2 linked regions of the Cricetulus griseus genome follow. Each later gene encodes a partner of the first gene's protein in a complex. Links are inferred from orthologs where the notes say so. Each region holds a gene or a part of one and is shown in the gene's direction. Other genes may lie near its edges.

Region 1 (11,223 bases):
ATGGAGATTTCTAATTAATTATGAAAGCTCGGCCTATAGCTTAGGCTTGTTTCTAACTAGCTCTTATAATTAAAGTCACCCATTTCTACTCATTTACATGCTGCCACCTGGCTCATGGCAGGCTATCTGATCTCCTACATGTCATGCTTCTTCCTTCCTCTGAGTCTGGCTGGTGACTCTGCCCTTCTTTTTCCTAGTGTCCTCTCTCTGCCCTGAAAATCTTGCCTAGCTATTGGCCATTTAACATTTTATTAAACCTATCACAGTGATATATTTTCACATAGTGTAAAGGAATACTCTAAAACATAGAAGTGTTAAGCTCTTAAGAGATCACTATCTAAAAACTGGCAAGGATGTTGATTAGATTTACAGGTATCTAATCTCTCATCCCTTTTCAAGGATAAAAATACTGATAGTTTCAAGATCTCCAAACAGTAAATCTCACAGGCCAGTTTGCTCAGTGCTCAGGGATGGGAACAAACACTGACCCCCACATGGGAACCATTACCCCGAAGAGAAATTTAGGGTCATCCCCAACCTTACATGCAATGTGGACAGGAACCAATGTAAAATGAGGTGGCTTCTCAAGCAGTAACCATTTTCTCCTTACCAGCAGACCTTCCAAGGGGAAACAAGCCAAATAATAATGAGAACACAGCAGCTTGGTTAAAGCTGCTTGACTAGATTTCTAGTCCTGGGCTTTTCTTCGTCTTGAAATTCTTGTCAGTTCCCTAGTACAGAGCCTACAATCTTCCCATGTGGCCCCACTTAAAATTGCTTTTTTGGATCACTACCACTTGACTCTGATGGACTCTCAAGGTGGCAGGTGCCAGAATTTGGTCCTGAGGAACCTAACAAATTCTGATAAGATGCAGACGTCGACATACTGTTATTTGCCCTCAACCACTGTCTTCACAAAAGATTACAAAGTCAATGGCTACAACAAACTACAGGCATTATCCAACTGTTACCCAATTCTCTCCTCTCAGTCTTTACTAACAAAGCAATACTTTCTGGAAAACAAAACCAAACAAACAAGGAGTAATCCCTCCCCCCTTTTAGAAGCACATTTGAAATAAAAGTAGGAGTGGATCTTAAAAGATCTTGGAGGAAGTCACTGGTAAAAAATAAATCAAAACAAAAAAACAGTAAAAATTATTTTTTAAACTTCAAAATCTGTTAATGGTTCATATATTTTTTGGGGTGTTAAATTGGGAAAATGCCCCTAAAAACTCTTTTTTAATTACTTTATAAAATTTATTCTTTAAGATGTATGTTTATTATTATTATTATTATTATTATTATTATTATTATTGTTATTATTACTTCTACTACTCCTGCTGCTGTTTTTAATCCCTTGGCCTCATGTGTGGTGGGCAAGCATTCTAACACTGGGCTTTACTGCCAGCTTTGCTGTACTGTTTTAGAAGACTACTAGTTTATTTAAATACCTCTTGCTAGAATTTTATTTCCATCAAACAGCATCAGTAGCAGGAAGATAGCTATATTTAAATGGAAAAATTCTGTGGAAAGGTTTTTTTAATCCTGTCACTAATATATTTTGATACATGTTGAGTTTGTCGCTATCATGGTATTCATATACCCTGAGGCTGTGGAAATGTGTGAAGTTCTCATTGTGGGTTGCCTATAAAAGGCATTCTGACATCCAAGCCTTTCTGCAGAATTCCGTAAATTCTGGTGGTATGCCCAAGCATCTGTTTTTACAACCACCCTTTGTGATTCCAACTGCAATGAAAGTTGAGGATCACTGCACTGGGACACGATTATCAGGACACTCCATTTCTATTTGAGTCACAATCCAGCCTGTCCTTAGCTTTTCTCTTCCCATAACTTTATTAAGAGATGACGATAAACATGACAAGTTCCTTGAAAACATGTACAACAGGAACACTGAAAGAGGGGAACATTTTGACAATGCCAAGATCCCTAGTTATCTCCACACATTGTGATGGGCTGATTGTGGCAAGGTGGCACTTCCTCATGTTAAATAACAAAGCACACATTAGGGCACAGGAAAGCAACCCCGACACAAAGGTGGAGCCATGCAGACGTGACTAAGTAGCAGTACACACTCAGATTTCTTGAGAAATCTGGTCAGCTTTAACCATCTGTTGCATCAAGGGTCAGATTTGGCTGCCAGAAAATAAACTTGGTCCAAGGCTATGTCAACAAATGCTTACTCTCTGGACAAGAGAGACCCTTTTCTTGCATGCTTCATTGGAGTATTTTAAGTATGGAGCCATGTTCTGAGCAGCGTACTTTGTGAACATAAACTTAGCATGATGCATGAGGAGAATTGGAACTGTCAGGTTAAATAAAAAGGAATTTTTCACTGGTAGGAAAAGTTCACCCTGGGAGAATGTGACAGATATTTCCAAAATATCCGAGGAAAGTCCATGTGGAAGTTAGGTTAGATGAAGTTTGAAGAATGCCAAAGTCAAAAGCAATGGATAGATGGAAGGAAACTTCAACAACGTTAGTTCAGTAAAGGGAACATGCACAGCCATACCTTGGAGTGCTCCCTGTTTGCAGGGGTATGTAAGTGATTGTCAATGTTGGATAAGGGGACAACCATATTTTAGGATTTAAATCACAAGGAAGTTTTTCCTCAGTGTACAATTTGATGAGTTTTGAACGTTAGTGTACTCAATACAGGTTTTGTTTTGTTAAGAAAAATAAGTAGGATCTTTTATGCTTTGCACTGCTAAATTGGAACTTGTGCAATCTGCCCACCAGCTCCAAGGAGGAAAGTGACTGATGTCCCTTGTAGCATAAGGAAGTCCCTAGGTGCTTTTCCAAAGGACAAAGGCATCACAGCCGATTGCTCTTTTCGGCATATAAACTGCCCCATTCTTATCGATTTTCCCTTGTTAACTGAAGGTATATCTTGTAGAAACTTTTGTTTTGGTGGGGGTGTCTTTCAGTATCCTTGGAGACCCTGGCTTATCCCTCCATCTGCTGGAAGTTTAGAACTTTCTGAAGATCACTAACCTAGCATCTCTCTCAATTGGCTGCCCTGTATTCTGGGATGTGCTGCATTCTTACTTCAAGCTACACAGAGAACAGCTGAGGTGGTGGTGGGCACCTCTTCTTACTTCATGGCTCCTAAGCTCTCTGCCATAATGATGACTTTCTTTTGCAACTTTTTTTTTTTTTTTTTTTAGAACTTTCAGGCTGATTTCAAACTTCGTGGACGCTCTAAGGACAAAGAACCCATGGAGTTAAGACTTGAACTCAAGGTGCTGCCAGCTCCCCCCCCCCCAAGAAAAAACAAACAAACAAACAAAAACTCCTATTCTTATCTTTTTAGCAGTTGAGCTCAGTCCTGAGGATAGAGCTCCAGTCCCCAGACTTAACTTTAGCCTCTGGCTGCCCTCTCCCTCCCAACAGAGTACAGAGAGAGAGAGAGAAGGGGAGAGAAAGGAAAAGCAAGGAGAGAATGGAGGTGGGGCTGGAGCAAAGCGTGGGGCTGGAGGGAGCGAGCTTCCGAGGGAAAAAGAGGGGAGGGCAGACGGGGCTCGGCACGCTCCCTCCCTCGGCCGCTTTCTCTCACATAAGCGCAGGCAGAGGGCGCATCAGTCATGCCCTGCCCCTGCGCCCGCCGCCGCCGCCACCACCGCTCGGCCCCGCGCGCGCAGGAGGCTCGAGCGCCCGGGAGCTCGCCGGCCTCGCCGCCGCCGGGCGTCCCGCCGCCCTCCTCCCGCCCCCGGCTCCGCCGTCGCCACCGCCACCGCCACCGCCTCTCCCGCGGCTCCTGCGGCCCGGCTCCTTTCACTTCGGGCGAGGGGAGGGAGGAGGGGGACGAGGGACTCGCGGGCTCCTCGGGACGAGCGGAACATCTCGGGGTGACTGGTCTTAAGCAACCAACCAGCCCCCCACCGCCCCCCTTCTTTGCAAAAACGCCAAAACAAAACCGCGATCGGCGACGGCGGCGGAGCCGGCCCCCGGCGCCCTCGCTTCACCTCGCGGGCCGCCACCGAGGGCAGCTCGGATGTCCGGTTTCCTGTGAGCCTCGTACCTGACACCCGGCGCCTCTCCCCGGCGCGGGCTGCCAGAGCCGAGGGCAAAAGTTGGGAGCTGCGGAGCCCCCGGGATCCGCTCGCTCAGGGGGTTCCCCCGAAGGAAACCGCGGGACTGGGACGAGAGGGGACCTCAGCCTCGCGCCCCAGCCTGCGCCTGCCAGCGGACCGGCCTCCCCGCTCCCGGTCCTTCCACCATGCACTTGCTGGGCTTCTTGGCTCTGGCGTGTTCCCTACTCGCCGCTGCGCTGATCCCGGGTCCCCACGAGGCGCCCGCCACCGCCACCGCCTTCGAGTCCGGACTGGGCTTCTCGGAAGCGGAGCCCGACGGGGGCGAGGTCAAGGTAGGTGCGCGGACCCGCCGGGCTGGGCTGTGGATCAGCTGCTCCCAGCCCTGGACTGTGGGTTTGGTTTTGCTGGGTGTACAGAGAACCTGTCGGCGAGAGTGTGTGCATAATTATTTATTTAACCTTTGGATCCAAAGTTAGAGATTGGTGCGCGCTTCCTTGGAGCAGAGTGGCCCTTCTTTTTCAGTGGAAAGCTGTTCCTAGAGAGGAAACCAACTGAGAGGAGGGAAGGGTACACAGAGGTGTCCCGGTCACACACAAGCAGATGGAGAATGTTACTTCTGAGTGGTCTCCTAATGCCAACAGGGGAGCTTGCACCCTGCCCTGGTGGCATGACTCCAGAGAGAATTTCATTGCTGTAGGGAAATGTTCTCTTTCTCTCTCCTTTCCCCCCCCTCTGGCTGGTTCTTTGGACTCCAAACAGCTTCTGGGGTGTGTGACTAGACACTTAGGTCTCTGCTCCTGGAATGTTTATAGCAGGAGCCCCAGGCTCTGGGAACTAGTTTGGAAAAAGTGGAAGTAAATTTAGTAACTGGGCTTGAAGGTTTTTAGATTTTAGGATTAAGTTGAACTTGCTCAAATCTAAGTTGTAACCGAGATTGGAATCTTTTAAATCATAGGCAAGAGAAACTTTTCGCCAACTTTATCAACTGCGTTTGTAGACCCTGGCAATGACATAGTAAAAATTGAAGAGTCAATGTGTTTGTTTAATTTTTTAAAGAGTAACTTTCCTAAGCATGCTAAGACACTTTTGAAGACATTTGATTCTCAAAAGAAGTTATCTTACCTTATTCTCACTGGAACCTTCTAAAGAATATTTATACATTTTAACGTTTTGGGCTCCTGAAAAAGTTTTGCATTTACGGCACTGTGAAGCCTCCCTGGCTGGAACCAGCCTGAAGTGGTTTATTGTAGCTGACTGCAAGTGAAAAAAGGCAAGGGGTGTCTTCCCTCAACTTTCAGTTGACTTTATTGGGGAACACATACTAAATGTGCAGAGAGCAAATCACCTTCCCTGGGTTTTGTCTGAGGTACACTTTAATAAGGGCAAGACTACTTTCTAAAGTATCAAACTACCTTTTGGTTTACATTTGGGAAAAAAAGTTATCAGAATTTGTAGGTCATTATGAGAATTGCAACTTCCAGCTTAACCATATTACTGTAACTAGAGTGATGAGAAAAACATTGTCCCCAAATGCCACAAGAGTAAAGCTATGCAACCAGTAACACTTGTAATTTGAGCCCTTCAGTTTTGCCAGTCCCTTTCACTTCCTGACTCTTCAAACACATGTAGGTATGACTTACTCTGACAACATCTCCACTGCCTGTGATAACTGGCTTTGATTTACAGTAGGAAAGTGTGAAGATTGAGTAAAAGGAGAAACATTTCCTGATAAGCCAATAGTTGATATAATAGTCAGTCATCACCGAGTCAGTCATGCATGACTGTACCAGAGCATAAGTGTGTGTGTGTGTGTGTGTGTGTGTGTGTGTGTGTGTGTGTGTGTGTGTGCATGTCAAGTGCTCAGGTGTGTGTTATAGGAAGGTGAACACTTGCAGGCAAATATCCCTCATTTTTAATTTTCAAAGCTACTGTCATTGGTATGTCATTACATTTCTCCTTTTCTCTGAAAATCTATGTATTTTGTTTGCAACTCTTTTTTTGTATTTAACCATCTCTTAAATTCTGTATGTTGAATGAGATCTGATATTTAGTATGTGATATGTTTTTGTTTTTTCATCCGTAGGAGGAAACTTTATTGTGTATCTTTGAGTTTCATGGGCAGCATACTTTTGCTGTGCTCAACTGTTCCCTAGAGGGTGAAGAGGCCCTTGGCAGCCTGTTTTACTGATGCCTTTCCTGAAACTTTTGTGTCCTTGCTGTGAAACTGGCACAGTGACCCAAACTGTGGTGTAAAGACTCCATGTCTCTCCCTAGTGGGCTTTCAAAGCACCTCAGTTAGCTTCAACCCAAGAAGAAACAAGTTGTAAGCTTCCTAAAACCCCAAGAAGGCATTTCACAAGATAAAAACAAGTTGTTCATTATACTCAGTATTAACTCATACAAAGTTTGTTAATAAATACCCATGTTGCTTTTTAAAAATTCACAAATATAGAAAAGCTGTTAAACTATGAAGCAAGCTCATCATCCAGTCCTCCTTGTGGCACCCAAGGCTACTCAAATAGTTGGAAGTGAATTTAGTAGGTTCCCTTTTCTTTTTTTTAAATGGTTGTGTGATTTAATGAAAAGTCCTAAAATATTTCCTGAAGGGTGTTAATCCAAACAGGCCAGTGTCAGGAAGCTAAAGCAGCTGGATATTGTGGGCATAAAAAGAAACATTCCAAACTTGTTATCACACTAATGGATATTGCTGAGTTCAGAAAATTATTGCTATAGCTAATAATTTGCAAGGTGAGTCTGGTAGACCATACTCTGGTGAGTTGGAACTGAAGAATTTAGTTATAAGAAAGACATTGGCTTATGACACAAAGAAGTAAGACTTACCTCATACAAACTATAGCTATCAAAATTTTTTCCTTTTATTGAAAATATATTCTTTTCTCACATAATATATCCTAATTCTAGTCCCCTGGCCAATTCCTTCCACTCTCTTTTTCTATCTCTCATTAAAAAATAAAAAGGCTTCTATGGGCTGATTATAAAATGAAATATAATAGATTAAACAAAAACGAACTCATCAGAGTTAGAAAAAATAACAGAAAGGGAAGAGCCCAAAGAAGGTCAAAAAGCAGATACAATTTAATAAAGGGGGCGGGGGGGCGGGGGCCGGGGGGCCGGGGAGACCTGACTTTATAAGACCAGGAGCCTCCAAGATGCCACTGATTTCATTTTCGTTAGCCATATTCTGCTGGGCATGCAGTATATTCCCTTAAATATAGTTTGTCTCTTCCTGGTTAGGATGGGGCCATGTGTCCACTTCTCCTTTCAGCTCTAAAATCCCATCTGGTGCAGACCCATACAGGCCCTGGCATGCTTCCTCAGTCTCTATGAGTTCATTTGTGTTTTGATCATGTTGATTTAGAGAACACCAAAGGGTCTTGGTGTCCTACATTCCCTCTGGCTCTTGCAATCTCTTTCTGCCTCTTCTGAAGTGTTCCCTGAGACTTGAGGGAAGGGATTTGATGGAGACTCCAATTCCAGCCAAGTGTTCCAGGCTTTCTCACTCTCTGAATAATGTGTGACTGTAGGTCTTTGTGTTTGTTCCCATCTGCTGCAGGAAGAAGATTCTCCAATGATAGCTGAGCAAGGCATTGCTCATGTTTGTCTTTCTGGGTAGCTATCAGACTTTTTAATTATAGTATTTTAATTTTTTCTTTGAGAATTTTATTATGGATACAATGTATTCTGCTGATGATATCCATCCTCCACTCTGCCCATCCAAATCTTTCCAGTGCCTCCCTCTCCAAAATTTCATGTTTTCTTAATTTGTTCTTGAAAAAAGGTATGCAAATATGTAGGTCTTTACATGTTATGGTTTGCAATAGAACACATTTTCTTTATCAACTTTTTAATAATTTGTGTACTTTGGTGTGTTTTAGTTTGTTATTTATTCTGTCACCTAAATCAATGGTAGTATTCTTCAAAGTGCCATATGTGTGCCTGCATAGAATTCCCTAGATGTCTTCATATGTGTTCCTGAATTGAAATTTCCTAGACATCTCTGTTTTCTCTTTTAACTTGACACCAAATGAATCTCTGGGCTTTGGTATGGAAGACGTATTTGAAATAATATCCCAAGTCATTTCTATTCTCAATAAAAGTATTACACAATATATATGGATGCCTTAAGTTCATTAGTTTTTATCATGGTCATCGTGTCATTGTTCAGTTTGTGAAATAATATGTCAGGCAGAAGTCATCATGAAAGACTTTGTTGCTGTTGTTTTCTTTAAGTAGTTTGCCATTGAGGTGAAAAAGACAACATAAATTGTAGTCTGTGATAAAATTGAAATTATGAAATTTTTATCTATTATGGAGTTTACCTATTATTATAAAATCTATTATTATGAAATTAACATTGTGTATGTTCTGAAGTTTGGGAGAGACTCTCTGTCTGCCTATTTGATCTGGGATCTTTGATCTCAGAGAGGAGCCTTGGCTGTAATTGGGATGTGAATTTTTAATAGATGAATTCATCAACACCAGAATTACACTTGCTTTCTAGGATAGCATAGGGACATGAGAAGGCAAATAGAAGAACAGTTTGGAGCTGGGGTGTTATATAGACAACAGTGAATTCCCCTAAGTACCAGTCTGGTTAGATAGCTGGAATTCTGCTGAGGTTCTTTTCACCACTCAGCCTATGGGGTTCCACTTAACACTGTGAGTCATGGGGGAAGAGTTAGCAAATGATACACAGACTATTGAAATCAATCATAAGATTGGATAAATGTCATACAGACTTTTACTTGGAGGCAATCTAATTAAGAAGTAAAAGAAATACATTAGATGGAGTGTCATGTACAGCCCCAGCTGGGCAGACACAGAGGGACATGAAGAAGGAGTCATCCCAGAAGATTGATAACTGTGAAAGTTGAAGGTGTAGAAGAAATCAGCCCTGGCCTTGGTAATTTAGTCATAAGAAAATAGTGTTTTCCATTTGTAGAATTAGGCTGTTTCATAGAAGAGGATGAGTAACAGTATAATTCCACAGATCACTTAGGATACTAGTAGGAATAAGACATATTTGGAAAAGCAAAATAAACCTCAAAGTAAGCCCTTATGTCAGTGGTTCTCAACCTTCCTAATGCTGTGTCCCCTTAATAGAGTTCCTATTGTTGAGATGACCCTCAATTATAAAATTGTTTCCTTTTTATTTCATAACTGTAATTTTGCTAATGTTTGTCAAGATATCTGCTGTGCAGCCCCCCAAAGGCAGCACAATCCACAGGTTGAGAAGCTTGGCTTTAAAGGGAAGAGACTGTCTTGGGCCAGGACTTGAGGCATGCAATAAACTTGGGACAGTTGTTACTGCAATCTCTATGAAAAATTAAAAATATGGTATATTAGCCAGTATTCAGTAATTTTATTTAAGTAAAAGAGACAGGAAATATAGCGGTAATGTGTCTTCATTTATTTGGAGCCTTGTCTGTGTTTCTGTGTTCTCCTATCTATACTTTTTAGTAGGAAGCTCCCCCACTTCTGAAACACCAGAATTCTAAGACTAGAAATAAGACACTCTTAAACTCTCCTTACTCCATCCCACATCAATTTCTGTTAAAGGCTTAGAGTTTGACTTTCCAGAAGTGTCCTCTGAGGGAAGGATTGGACTTCTGTCACCTTTTCTGAATCAGCTGCTCTTTAAGGACAGACATACAGTCGTACAGCTTTTTTTTTTTTTTTTTTTTTTTTTTGTAAAGTATAATCCCCTGTTTTGCTCATTTTTCTCTCAGGTTTTTGCCATTAGTCTGTATGATGCTGTGTTTACTGCTCTGAATGTGGTGGGACCTGGGAAAATGGGGCCAATAAACGAGATAGACTAAAGTCTCATGCAATAGCCAACTTTATTCAGAGCATCAGACAATTTATACTCCGAGGCTTAAGAGTAGTCACATGAGTGAAGTGGACAATCACAAGGGCAAGCTGCACATGGCAGGCAAGCCACTCAGGGCAAAAAGATGTTCTCCATGCAAGCATATAAACAAATGCAATAGCCGCTTATAATGAGTAATCTGAAATAAACTCACTCCTATCCACTACACCTGGAAGGAGCAGGGAAACACATTCCAAGAAAAATTCTATGTTTTTGAGGAAACTGAGATCACAAGACTCTTGTCTTGTTTTCTCACAATCACTCAGCAGTCTCCTCATATCATATGACTCCATTCTTGGACTATGTTCCCACAATGTTTGATACGTAGGGATTTGTATACAAAAGGTCCAATTCACTTTCTTTGGCTTTCACTTCTTTGTATTTCTTCTCAAATATGATTTCCTGGTCGATATCCATTTTTTAAAATATCACACCATAAGAACTGACTCAGGAAACTTAGTTACTGACAGCATTGTCACTTCATTAGGTCTATAGTCTTTTTTTTCTGTCCTACACTGATTTGGGAAGGCTTGGAATAGTAGATTTCGAGGCTATAGCTCTTGAGAGGGAGATATAGTTGCCTTGCATGCAACCTGGATGCTTGGCTCTGCTGTAAATGTATTTTTGAGGTCATGGGGGCTGGCATGTGGGGAATGCCTGATTCTTTCAGTTCGAGCACTGCTTTTGCACTAGCTGCTCCAGATTTACACTGTCCTCTAGATATCAGCTATTCCTTCAACACTGAGAGCAAGAGTGATTAATAATGGTCCTCACCCCTAGGATGTTTGTGTATCCTTTGATTTGCTCTAGTCTGGTGATCTTATGTCATCTTGTTATCTACTTCATCTCCGTAGATGGTTGCCATGTTATATTCAGGATGATAAACATAAGACAGAAACCAGGAATAACAACAGTCTTTCTTTTGCCTTGGTGGTGATGGTAATGTTGTGTATATGCGTGCATGTGGGTGTGCAGGTGTATTTGCTTATGTGTGCCCATACATGGAGGCCAGAGGTCCGCCTTAGTCTCCTTTTGACTCAGTCTGTACTGTTTTTGAAATGGCATTTCTCACTGAATTCAGAGCTCATCATTTGGCAAGGGTCCCTATCTCATAGTCCGGACCTCTCTCTTCTGGGTTCCAAGTGAATTCTGCTGTGCCTGGCTTATGTGGGTATCTGGTTCAACATCAGATCTTTAAGCCTTCATGCACAACAGGCCATTTACTGACAACCATCTCCACTCTCAAGAATAGTCTTTTGTTGTTTTTTTTTTTTCTTTTTT
Region 2 (10,509 bases), about 110 Mb from region 1:
ACACAAAAAGATGTACTTACAATTTTGGCCAATACAACCCTTCAGATTACTTGCAGGTAAGGGTTCGTTTTAGATTCAGATTTCCTGTGTGCAAGGACTCATTGTTTACTGAGGTCACAACATTTCCATTACTGCAGAATTATAATAGTATTGTTGTAATTGTTTATAAGTCATGAGGCTTCTAAGAACTCATGCAATAACGAAACAATGAGAAAGGTCTCTTCAAACTTTTGTACTGTTTTGACGGGCCTTTTCAACACGTACAAATGCATACTCACATATGCATTTGCACAACCATGCACACATGTACATGCGTGCCAAAAACTGACATGTGATAGACATTCATGACTATTGATGAATCAGTAAAGTTAAGGGCTTATCCTTGTGAAATAGAGTGGAAGTCTGAGCCATGTTCATGTCAGTTCGAATGACTTGTGAACATCTTTTTAGCCCTTTATAAGAACTGTGTTCTACAAATGAAATTCTGTCTGTAGTAGCAACTTAATCTCTAGCCAACAATATTCCTGACCATATGTCCTGCTCAAAACATGAACTGCATACTCTGGCTTGATATTCAGGCCCTCTTTCCCTCTTGCCCGCAAGTAGCCACGCTACTGATGCTGGATAAGCAGGGAAACAGAACTCTTAGACAAGAGGAGGCCTTTGAATTTTGCTTTTCAACCAAGAGTCAAGAAAGGAAACCTAGAGGAGGTATAGGTGGATATGGCACTCATTCATGAATGACTCAGAGGTCTCTGTAAATCAGTGTGGTTTTGAGTGCTGGTGCCACAAAGAGTCCTGGCAGCTTGTGGCCTTTGCATCCTATTTGAAGAATACCAAGTGGTCCACAGCATAACTCAGGTCTGTTTTAGATTGTTGCATGTGGAGAGACACTAGGCCTCTTATCTAAGGTCTGCAAAGTCTTCAATACCCAGCCTTTGGAGGGGGGGGGGGAACAAAAACAGAAAGCCATAGCAGGAGCTGTTTATCTTCGTAAGTCATGGCGTTTCCAGAGACTTTCCCTTCTACCTAGTCTCAGACACAAAGGTCACTTGAGATCTGCAAAGGTCCCCCTCCCTTTAAAGGAGACTTCAGAAACATTTCTTGTGTTCTGAGCAAACCCTGGAGAGAACAGGCACAGTCAATACTGTGATGTCATGGGAGTTTCAAGCTCTTTGAATGAAGGCTCAGTGGGCCACATTGTTTTATTCATATTGACTACCTTCCATTTGCTTTGTGGAGAAATGAAGCAATAAAAGTATTGTCTATTTAACTTTACCCTTTCAAGGAGGTACCAGGGCCCTCTTCTCTCGGTGCCCTCTCTTCTTCCTCCCTCACACCTACATGATGATTCTGGCTTCCCTGCTGTTTCCCCAACACTCCAGATGTGCACTGGTCTCTGTCCTTCACATTTACCGTTCCTACTTGAAATGCTGTTCCTCATCATGTGCATAGGGCCTGTTTGTTGCTTCTTTTATGTTTCTCTTCATAGCACTAAATTAACACCTTTTATACAATGACTTGTATGTCCTAGTTGTCTCTCCCCTAGTTAGAGTGAGCTTCCATAAAGGCACTGATTTATTTCTTCTTGGTGTACACTGGGAAAGTGCTCTAGCACTGAGCATCATATCTTTGGTCCCTTAAAGCATTAGTTTTTGTCCTTAATAATGGTCAGCAATTATATATACTTAAAAAAACATTCTTTCAGTTCATACTGAAAGAATGAATTGTGAACTAACAGAAAACACATGACCCCATGGGTGATTTCTGAAATAGAGTGTGTGATCTTTGGTGGCATGTCCATGCAGACTGTCATCAGTGTCTATCAACTTTGAAGTGTCTGTTGAGCATTTTATATGCTCATGAGAACCATACCTTCCGTTCTCTTATTCAGAGCCTCATGCCATGGGGTGTCACATTAATACCTTCCTGGAATACTTTTTTCAGGGGACAGAGGGACCTGGGTTGGCTTTGGCCCAACAATCATCATGGTTCTGAGGAAAGGGTGTCGGTGACTGAGTGCAGTGACAGCGTCTTCTGCAAGACACTCACAATTCCAAAAGTGGTGGCAAATGATACCGGAGCCTACAAGTGCTTCTATTGGGATGTCGACATGTCCTCCGTCATTTATGTCCATGTTCAAGGTAAGCAGTGGACAAGAATGTACTTCCCACATCCACTTACTAGGTCTAAAAAGCAACAGGCACAAGAAAAGTTAAGTCCAACAGGAGTCTTGATGGAAAGGCTGTTTGCCAAAAAGAATATAAAAATCTCCCTCCCAGACTTCTTTTAAGAAAGGACTCACTGACTGTCTGGGCTTTGGTCTGAGCTGCATTTGTCTTCTTTAGATAGGTCAGTCCTAGTCCCTTCTGTGTGGTGCTCTGAGATTCTCTGTGACCTGTCATGGGCTATAGGGACTCATAAAATGCCTTCTCTTGTTTGAGACCCTGAGATCTTAGAAATGGAGGGAGATTGGAAGTGGATTATAGAGAGGTTTCTGTGGTGAGATAGGTTATCTGTAGCAGGGAGGAGGTTTTTGCAGGAATGCATAGCGAAATAGCCAAGGACTCTGGAGGTTGTGTTTTTCCCCCTCCCCCATAAGATTTTTCCTTTCCAGACTCACACTTTATTAAAAAAAAATCCACATACCCATGTGCAAAGCACAACACCATCTCCAAAGAAGCCGTGGAGGACTGCATGTCCTGTCTTTGCTTGTGTGCTCTGAGAGGGCTTCAAGTTTGCCATCGACTCCAGGAAGATGCAGCCTAGAGACATGAAAGGTCGCTTCATAGTTAGAGCGAGTATTTTATTTTGAGGGGATGGTAGCTGTGTGAGCTTCCTTTGCATACTTCACCTTTGAGGGCTAATGATTTAGGACTGATTTACAGAAGACCTTTCATTTTACATTAAAGGATTAGCTTAGCTTTTGTCTCATGTGAAAGGGTTACTTTAGCACTGTAAGCAAGGCATGCAACTTAACATCTTTATAATAAAGACTACAAGGCAACATGTATTCGATTTCTAGAGCATGAATTATGATCTCTTTTGTATTTTAAAAACTGCACACCACCTTTTCTTGCAATAAACCCATCTTCACTTATGAGACACCTGTAATATTATGCACTTCTCAGGAATGTCAAGGTTTCATTATATATAAAGATTTATTTGTTTTCATTTTTGTGAATGCAAGTTTTGCATGTGTACTGTGTGCACGCCTGCTATCTGTGGAGGTCAGAAGAGGGCATTAGACCCCCACTGGAACTGGAGTTACAGAAGGCTCTGAGCCACCTTGGGTGATGGGAATTGAATGTACATGCTCAGCAGGAGCAGCCAGTGCTCCTAACAGCTGGACCATCTCTCCAAGTCTGGGTTGCAGACTCCCTATTTTATTTATTCATCTGTATCTAACCTTACATCTCAGAGGATTTGAGACCCGTGAAAATGACTTTGAAATTTTTTTTCTAGAATTAACTATTACCAGATAGAAAGGCTCTTCATCAGGACAGCACTCTTGCAGATATGACCGTCCATAAGATGTGACCTGTCCTTCAGTAAGGACAGTCTATGGAAGACTGTCCTAATGTCCTATGGTGCCCTGGGGGCATTCTTTTTGCCCAGGGTAAGCAAAGTCTAAGATGGAGTTCTGTGCCTTCCTCCTCACTCTGCAGAGCTGAGGGAGACAGACCTTGGGGAATGTCTGGCTCCTTTTGATCTGGCAGTCTTGGGAGATGTGGCTCTCTCAGAAGATTGCAAGGATTTCCTGCTCTCAGCCTGTCTGGAAATGCTACAAGATGAGCCTCTCCCACAATATCTCGTTACTTCCTTCTCCCCAAGTCAGGAAACCTGGAGACATGTAAAATTCATTTCTTGAGTTACAGTAAATATTTTATTTTGAGAGGATACGTGGTTGTTTAATGCTCCTTTGTTTACTTCCCCTTTAGGGCTACTGAAATAGAACCCATTTACCAAATAACTTTAGTCTTAAGTCAAGAGGTTAATTTGACTTCTCCAGACTCTGAATGAAGCACATCGTGTAATAGTCCATTAACATGTGCAATAGCAACAAGCGGTGGTCTCTAGCACTATTTGCCAGTATACTTGGTGCCTTTGGATACACCATGAAATTCTGTTTCCGCCTCAGCTTAGCATTCTATTTGATCATGAAGTTTAACAACAGGAAAGAAAGCTTTGAATGTATTATTCCCTATGGGTAGGTCCTTAATGTCCCCCTCTGGTCCCCACCTCACTTCCTCCGTCCTCTGACCCAACTAGCAGTGGATAGAGCCAGGAAGCTGGCGTTGGCCTCATAAGATAATGGCTATGGCATGTGGGGGGCGAAGCTAGCTGCATTTCTATGCTTTCCAGCTGGGGAGGAAATCAGATTTTTGCTGTTGAAAGGAATTAGCTACTCTTCTTCCCTTTGGCTTCATTAACTCTTTCTTCACCTCTGGAAAGGCTTGGTCAGATGCATGTGGGAGTGGGTGGGGGGTCGGAGCTGGGATGTTGATGTTATCTCTGAGATTTCAAGTGGTGACTCCAGACCATGTCCTCTGTCTCTGGGGAATGGAGTAAATTCCCAGCCATGTATTAATGCTGTGTGAATACTCTCTGAAGGATATCAAAATGACTCTGGCTTTTGGCTCAATCTTTTGGCATTATGGCTTTCCAAATATTCATTGTCAGAGATATATTAATAAGTTTTAAATCTTGAACTGGATGTAGTGGCTATTAAACATTATTGCATAAAGAGTCTTATTTTCAGTGCTCACAGTCTTAAGGTATTATTGAAATCATTCTTTTTGAATCACTGAATCATCTAATTATTGTGCACCTTTGTTTAAAATTTTCATTTTCTTTTCAGGTCATTTATATTATTTGCCTACTGAAAGAAATGAATATTTAGCATTGTAAAACTCATAGTTTCAATGTATGGATTTAAATTTAAAATGCTTATTTTATAAAAAAATTATAATAACCTATTAAAGCATGGCATTTCTAAAATAGATTCTACTTTTTAATGTTCCATGTAGAGAAGTTAAGCTCATTTTTGGAGTTTCCATTCAGATTACTTCTCTCTCTCTCTCTCTCTCTCTCTCTCTCTCTCTCTCTCTCTCTCTGTGTGTGTGTGTGTGTGTGTGTGTGTGTGTGTGTGTGTCTGTATGTGTGTATATATGCTTTTCTCCCCTTCCTTGGCCATAACTTTGGAGCCAGACTAACCTATGGGCATCTTTGCTCATGCAAGTTGTCAATGCCAATCATTCACTCGTTCAGTTATGGTTCATGGACCTAAGAATACCAACTGTCCTTCTAATAACTCACTGGAAACTTCACTTTTCTTCCAGATTACAGGTCACCATTCATCGCCTCTGTGAGTGATCAGCATGACATTGTGTACATCACCGAGAACAAGAACAAAACTGTGGTGATTCCGTGCCTAGGGTCAATTTCAAGCCTCAATGTGTCACTCTGTGCAGTGAGTTGCCTATTTTCTAGTCACTTCCCATCTTTCCAGGGCTGTAAGCCTCTTTGCATATGCACTTCCTGCTTCCAATAGCATGTCAATAGTGAACTGCAAAGCCCTTAGGGAGAGTCAGCAACACAATAAACAAAACCAACTTACATTCTTGAAGCCTTTCAGAAGTCATCAAGTTCCAACAGCACTGGGTTAAATACTGTTTCTTTGTTGTTATCTAGAGATATCCAGAAAAGAGGTTTGTTCCGGATGGAAACAGAATCTCCTGGGACAGTGAGAAAGGCTTTACTATCCCCAGTTACATGATCAGCTATGCAGGCATGGTCTTCTGCGAGGCAAAGATCAATGATGAAACCTACCAGTCTATCATGTACATAGTTGTGGTTGTAGGTAAGTGGGTGTTTCCTTTCTGTGCCATTAATACCATCTAATGAAGAGTGGCTTTCTACATGAAGATCCTGGAGAGAAGGTGTAGAGTGAAGAGCAAGGGGTGTGGGAAAAGATACTAGCTCAGGATATGGGGCTGGTCAATTCCTTATAGATGTTCTTCTCTACCAGACAAACCATTGCAATGGGTGGGGCAGGGAGTGTTCCTCTTTTCTTGCCAAGACCAAGAATGAAAAACCACAGGCGCTCAGGTTATGAAAAATGCAATATTCAGATCACTGCTTGGCACCAGTTCTCTTAATTGTATCTATTTTATGGAAAGTTCAGCTATTTACTCAAGTGGGCCCTGTTAGCCTAGATTTTATTATTCACCAGGTTACAACATTTTCGAAAACGCTGAAGATAGTGATTTGTAAATCACTATAAACCTTTTTTCCTAAAAGCCATCAAGAAGCAGTGAGTCCCCCCAAGAGAAGTGATGTCACACACTTTGTACCACTTTAAAAGATGTGTGCCAACTCCTGGATGTCTTTTCCGTCTTACTTTCTGTTTTTATCATTTACTTGCTCCAGGATACAGGATTTATGATGTGACCCTGAGCCCCCCTCATAGAATCCAGCTATCTGCAGGAGAGAAGCTTGTCTTAAATTGTACAGCAAGAACTGAGCTCAACGTGGGGCTTGATATCAAGTGGGAGATCCCTTCTTTGAAGGTAATGAAAACAGCTCAGAGCCAGGTCTCTGAATACTTTGATAATAAGCCCTAATGAAGTTTGCGTGAGAGATAAAGGGTTCCCTCTGGTCAGATAAATTATAAAGGCTTTAAAACATGCTCTCTCTCTCTCTCTCTCTCTCTCTCTCTCTCTCTCTCTCTCTCTCTCTCTCACACACACACACACACACACACACACACACACACAGATACCCCAGTGTACCCACACTTTAATATAGGAGTATGGCAGAATATATAGCAACCATGAAAGATACCTTGCCAGGACCTGTGCATATTCATCTCTGCTAGGTTATTAATCTTTTGACATTGCTATTGGAGAACACAATGTGGAGTCAGATGCAAGATTTATAATGGTAGTTTATTTAGGAGAGGTACGCACGCAAGTCTACCTAGCCAGGCAGCAGGGAGTTCGAGAGGGACCCTGCACTGCACCCCTAGCTACTTAAACCTTTCCCACATCACTCTGACCACACCCAAGCAGTCGTGGTCAGCAACACCTCTGTCCAGCCCCAAGCTGGCGTGGTCAGCATTACCTCTAATCATGTTTTCTCCCTAAACATTGCATTATTTCTCTGTTCTCTAAAGCCCTTGATCTGTTTTTCCCTTTAAGAGGTGATCTGGGTTACATTTCTCTTTAAACCGTTGTATTTGTATCTATACTCCACACACATCTCATTCCCATTAGCTAAAGAAGTCTTCAAAGTTCTACCTTAGTCCCACGTATTTCAACATTCACTCAATTCTACTGAATCCCAATGTATATATTGCCAGTGTGGCATTTAAAGCCTCAGTTATTAATAATAGTGTGCATCGAGGGACAGGACCTGAATCTGTGGGTCTCTAGGAGCTATTGGATGGTTAGTGTTCTGCTGGGCTGTGAACATTCACTACAATCTTTTTGTTTCTCAGCATCAGCATAAGAAGGTTATAAACAGGGACCTGAAACCCCTTCCTGGGACTGTGATGAAGAAATTTTTGAGCACCTTGATAATCGACAGTGTGACACGGAATGACCAAGGGCTATATATCTGCACAGCGTTCAGTGGGCGGATGACCAAGAGAAACAGCACGTATGTCCAAATTCATAGTAAGTGACCATTTTCTTGCTAATATACTGTACCTGAAAGAGTGAGATGATTTACACAAATTTACCTTGTTCATTTGCAAGATACTTTTGAGTTCTTGTTAATGAGGACACAAGGCCTAGAGGTCAACAGCTTAACTTTGGAGTCAGGGACTTGTGTTCAAAACCTCAACTTAGAAATGACACATGGTAAGTGCTCACTAGGTATTGCTTGCTAGAGCCGTTTCTGCAGTTATAACTATTATTAGAAGTAGAGTGCTAGTATGTGAAATGGTATATTAAAGATTTCGGTAAGGGAGGCTAAGAGCTTACTTGAAGAAGCATAAACCCTTCAAATTGGGGAAACCCAGATTCAGTTGCTTTCTCTGTTGCTTTAGCTAAATCACCCAAATTCTCAGTTATGCCCTCTCATTTACATAGCTGTCTAGTTTAGATAATTTATTTATGCTAGAGCTCTAGCTTATGCTTTTACAGGGTTACTTTGAAGCTTACATGGAATAGTTTGTTTTGTGATGTCGGGGTCTTGCATATGGTAGGCAAGTGATCTACCATTGCACTGCTTTAAGAAAGTAAAGGCAGAAGAAGGAAGAACAGTTAGGGGGTTGGTTGTTCAAATCCAGGTGAGAGATGGTAGAGGACTTGGACTAGGGTATCTGTGGAGGAAGTAGAAGACATGAGATCTTGGATCTACTCTGAAGGCATAGTCAGCTAGACTTGCTGGTTGATTTGTTGGCTGTGATTATGGCTTGAGCTTTAACATAAAGAGATGGCCTTCACTTTAACACAGGCAGAGGAACAGTGGTGTTACTAAGTGAAGGGGGGTGGGTAAGATGGCATTTGGAGAATAGTGTTGAGTGAGTTCCTTTGGAGATGCCCATTAAACATACAGGTAGAGATGTTTGATATGTAAACTTGGAACCCAGAGAAGTCAGGGCAGGGGTTGAAAGTTTCTGTAGTGACAGATGCTTTAAATCTGAAACTAGATAGAAGAGGGGGCAGGGAAAGAGAGTGGTCTGAGGAGGGAGTGTTGGACAACCAACACCTAGAATGTGGGTAGCGGGTGTTATGGGAGCAGAGGTTCAGGTGTGCCCGCTGGTCCCTGAGGGATTTAGAGAAGGCTGTGGGGAAGGATGGAAGCTCAAGGCTCATGAGAGAGCACTAGCGAGGAGAGAAGTTTGACAAAGGTTAGAGAGGAGCTGGAATGTGGCTGCTATAGACAGCATGGAGACTCTCAGAATGGCAGTACCCCAACATCTAACTTTTCACTTGACTAAAACTCCAAACCAAAAAGGCATTTGAAGTAACTTGGCATTCATGAGAACCATTGCTTTTGTTTTCTTCTAGCAAAACCTTTTATTGCTTTTGATAGCAGTATGGAATCTTTGGTGGAAGCAACAGTGGGCAGCCAAGTCCGAATCCCTGTCAAGCACCTGAGTTACCCAGCTCCTGATATCAAATGGTAACTACTGAAAAGCAAAACATTGGTCTACATGAGATAAAATCCCTCTGTTGTGTTAATTCCTGGGACTGTCTTCCACAGGTACAGAAATGGAAGACCCATTGAGTCCAATTACACAATGATAGTGGGTGATGAACTCACAATCATGGAAGTGAGTGAACGAGATGCGGGAAACTACACGATCGTTCTCACCAATCCCATTTCAATGGAGAAACAGAGCCATGTGGTTTCCCTGGTTGTAAATGGTGAGTTCACTCAATGCCTCCTCTGCCCAAAATTTACTAGGAAGAGAGAGAATGAATCTTACTACATCTCCTAGGCACCATTCCTTTGTGTCCTGTTGCATCATCCACATCATTAATTGGGTCAATGCATAAAAAATGAAAAATGACCCAGGGAGGTGAATTTGAAATGAGATGTGGTATGGTAGCATACTCTGGTCATGCTTCCTTGATAAGTCATGCAAATGTGCTGTGTTACGATAAATCTTTCTGCCAAAAGCCGCCAAGCCCCACCGCCACCTGTGCGCTCTATGCCAGCCGCCTGCCTGAGTTAGGGCCCCAGTTAATGCAGAGAGACTTGCATTAGGTACAATGCTGCTTGGCCAATGACTAGGATTCTCATCTGTTAGCTCAGTCTCAATTATCATAAATCTATATATTTTATGACTTATCTTATCGGATGCCTATATATTTTATAAGACTTATCTTATCAGACGCCTTATTGGTGTCCCTCCTTGCTTGTGGATCACATTGTGCCGCTGGAGGAAGAGCAGAGGGGAAAAGGGGACACTGCTTGTTTCTCCTTGCTTAAATATGAGTCTCCTTACTGTGTCACTTCCTGCCTGGATCACCACTTCTGTACTACATTTCCCAGAATCCTCTTTGATTCCTAGTCCTGTCTAACTTGCTGTCTCATTGGCCAAACAGTATTTTATTCAATAATCAATAAGATGAACATACACAGTACATTCCCCATCAGTGCTGTTGGTGGTCCCATGCAAGGTGACAGTTGATGGTACCCTCCAGACAAATGCCTTTGGGGTCACTCTAAGGTTCGTGAGCTCCCATTGCTCCTGTCCACAAAACTACATATTGAGTGAAGATTTGGTAGACTCTCCTTGTGTTGCCTATGATGTTTTAGTCTGAAGCTTTAGCTTCTTTACTCCAGACACATGGCAGAACTCCACACAGGAGTCCTGTGGAGACTGGCATCATGGGACATATCTTGAGTCTGTTTTTGACTTAAGGATGATTTAAACTTTACATTCCCAAGGTGAATGTTATAATTATTTGGGTGGAGGCAGGAAGGTGAGTGTAGAAGTACCACCATGCTGACTGCCAACTTGATTTTATCCTTATTGGACTTAATCTT

What was found. Proteins that work in one complex are often made in the same cells at the same time.
Region 2: the proteins of Vegfc (region 1) and Kdr are in contact, whole or in part, in a crystal structure (PDB 2X1W), measured with the Homo sapiens proteins. The link is inferred for Cricetulus griseus from reciprocal best matches to the Homo sapiens genes VEGFC and KDR. Residues at the interface, in NP_005420.1 of Homo sapiens: Thr148, Asn149, Phe151, Lys153, Phe186, Ile188, Val190, Pro191, Leu192, Gln194, Pro196; in NP_002244.1 of Homo sapiens: Val135, Tyr137, Ile215, Val216, Val217, Val218, Asn253, Val254, Gly255, Ile256, Asp257, Phe258, Asn274, Arg275, Asp276, Phe288, Leu289, Ser310, Ser311, Gly312.

What each region holds. Positions count from the first base shown.
Region 1 is NW_023276807.1:33,449,838-33,461,060, reverse strand, and holds the start of Vegfc (vascular endothelial growth factor C), read left to right. Parts: upstream 1-4,084; 5' UTR 4,085-4,237; coding exon 4,238-4,384; intron 4,385-4,393; exon of another isoform or gene 4,394-11,223. UniProt on the Homo sapiens protein: Growth factor active in angiogenesis, and endothelial cell growth, stimulating their proliferation and migration and also has effects on the permeability of blood vessels.
Region 2 is NW_023276807.1:142,438,467-142,448,975, reverse strand, and holds part of Kdr (vascular endothelial growth factor receptor 2), read left to right. Parts: coding exon 1-56; intron 57-1,947; coding exon 1,948-2,144; intron 2,145-5,342; coding exon 5,343-5,473; intron 5,474-5,694; coding exon 5,695-5,863; intron 5,864-6,432; coding exon 6,433-6,572; intron 6,573-7,501; coding exon 7,502-7,679; intron 7,680-9,020; coding exon 9,021-9,135; intron 9,136-9,216; coding exon 9,217-9,380; intron 9,381-10,509. UniProt on the Homo sapiens protein: Tyrosine-protein kinase that acts as a cell-surface receptor for VEGFA, VEGFC and VEGFD. Plays an essential role in the regulation of angiogenesis, vascular development, vascular permeability, and embryonic hematopoiesis.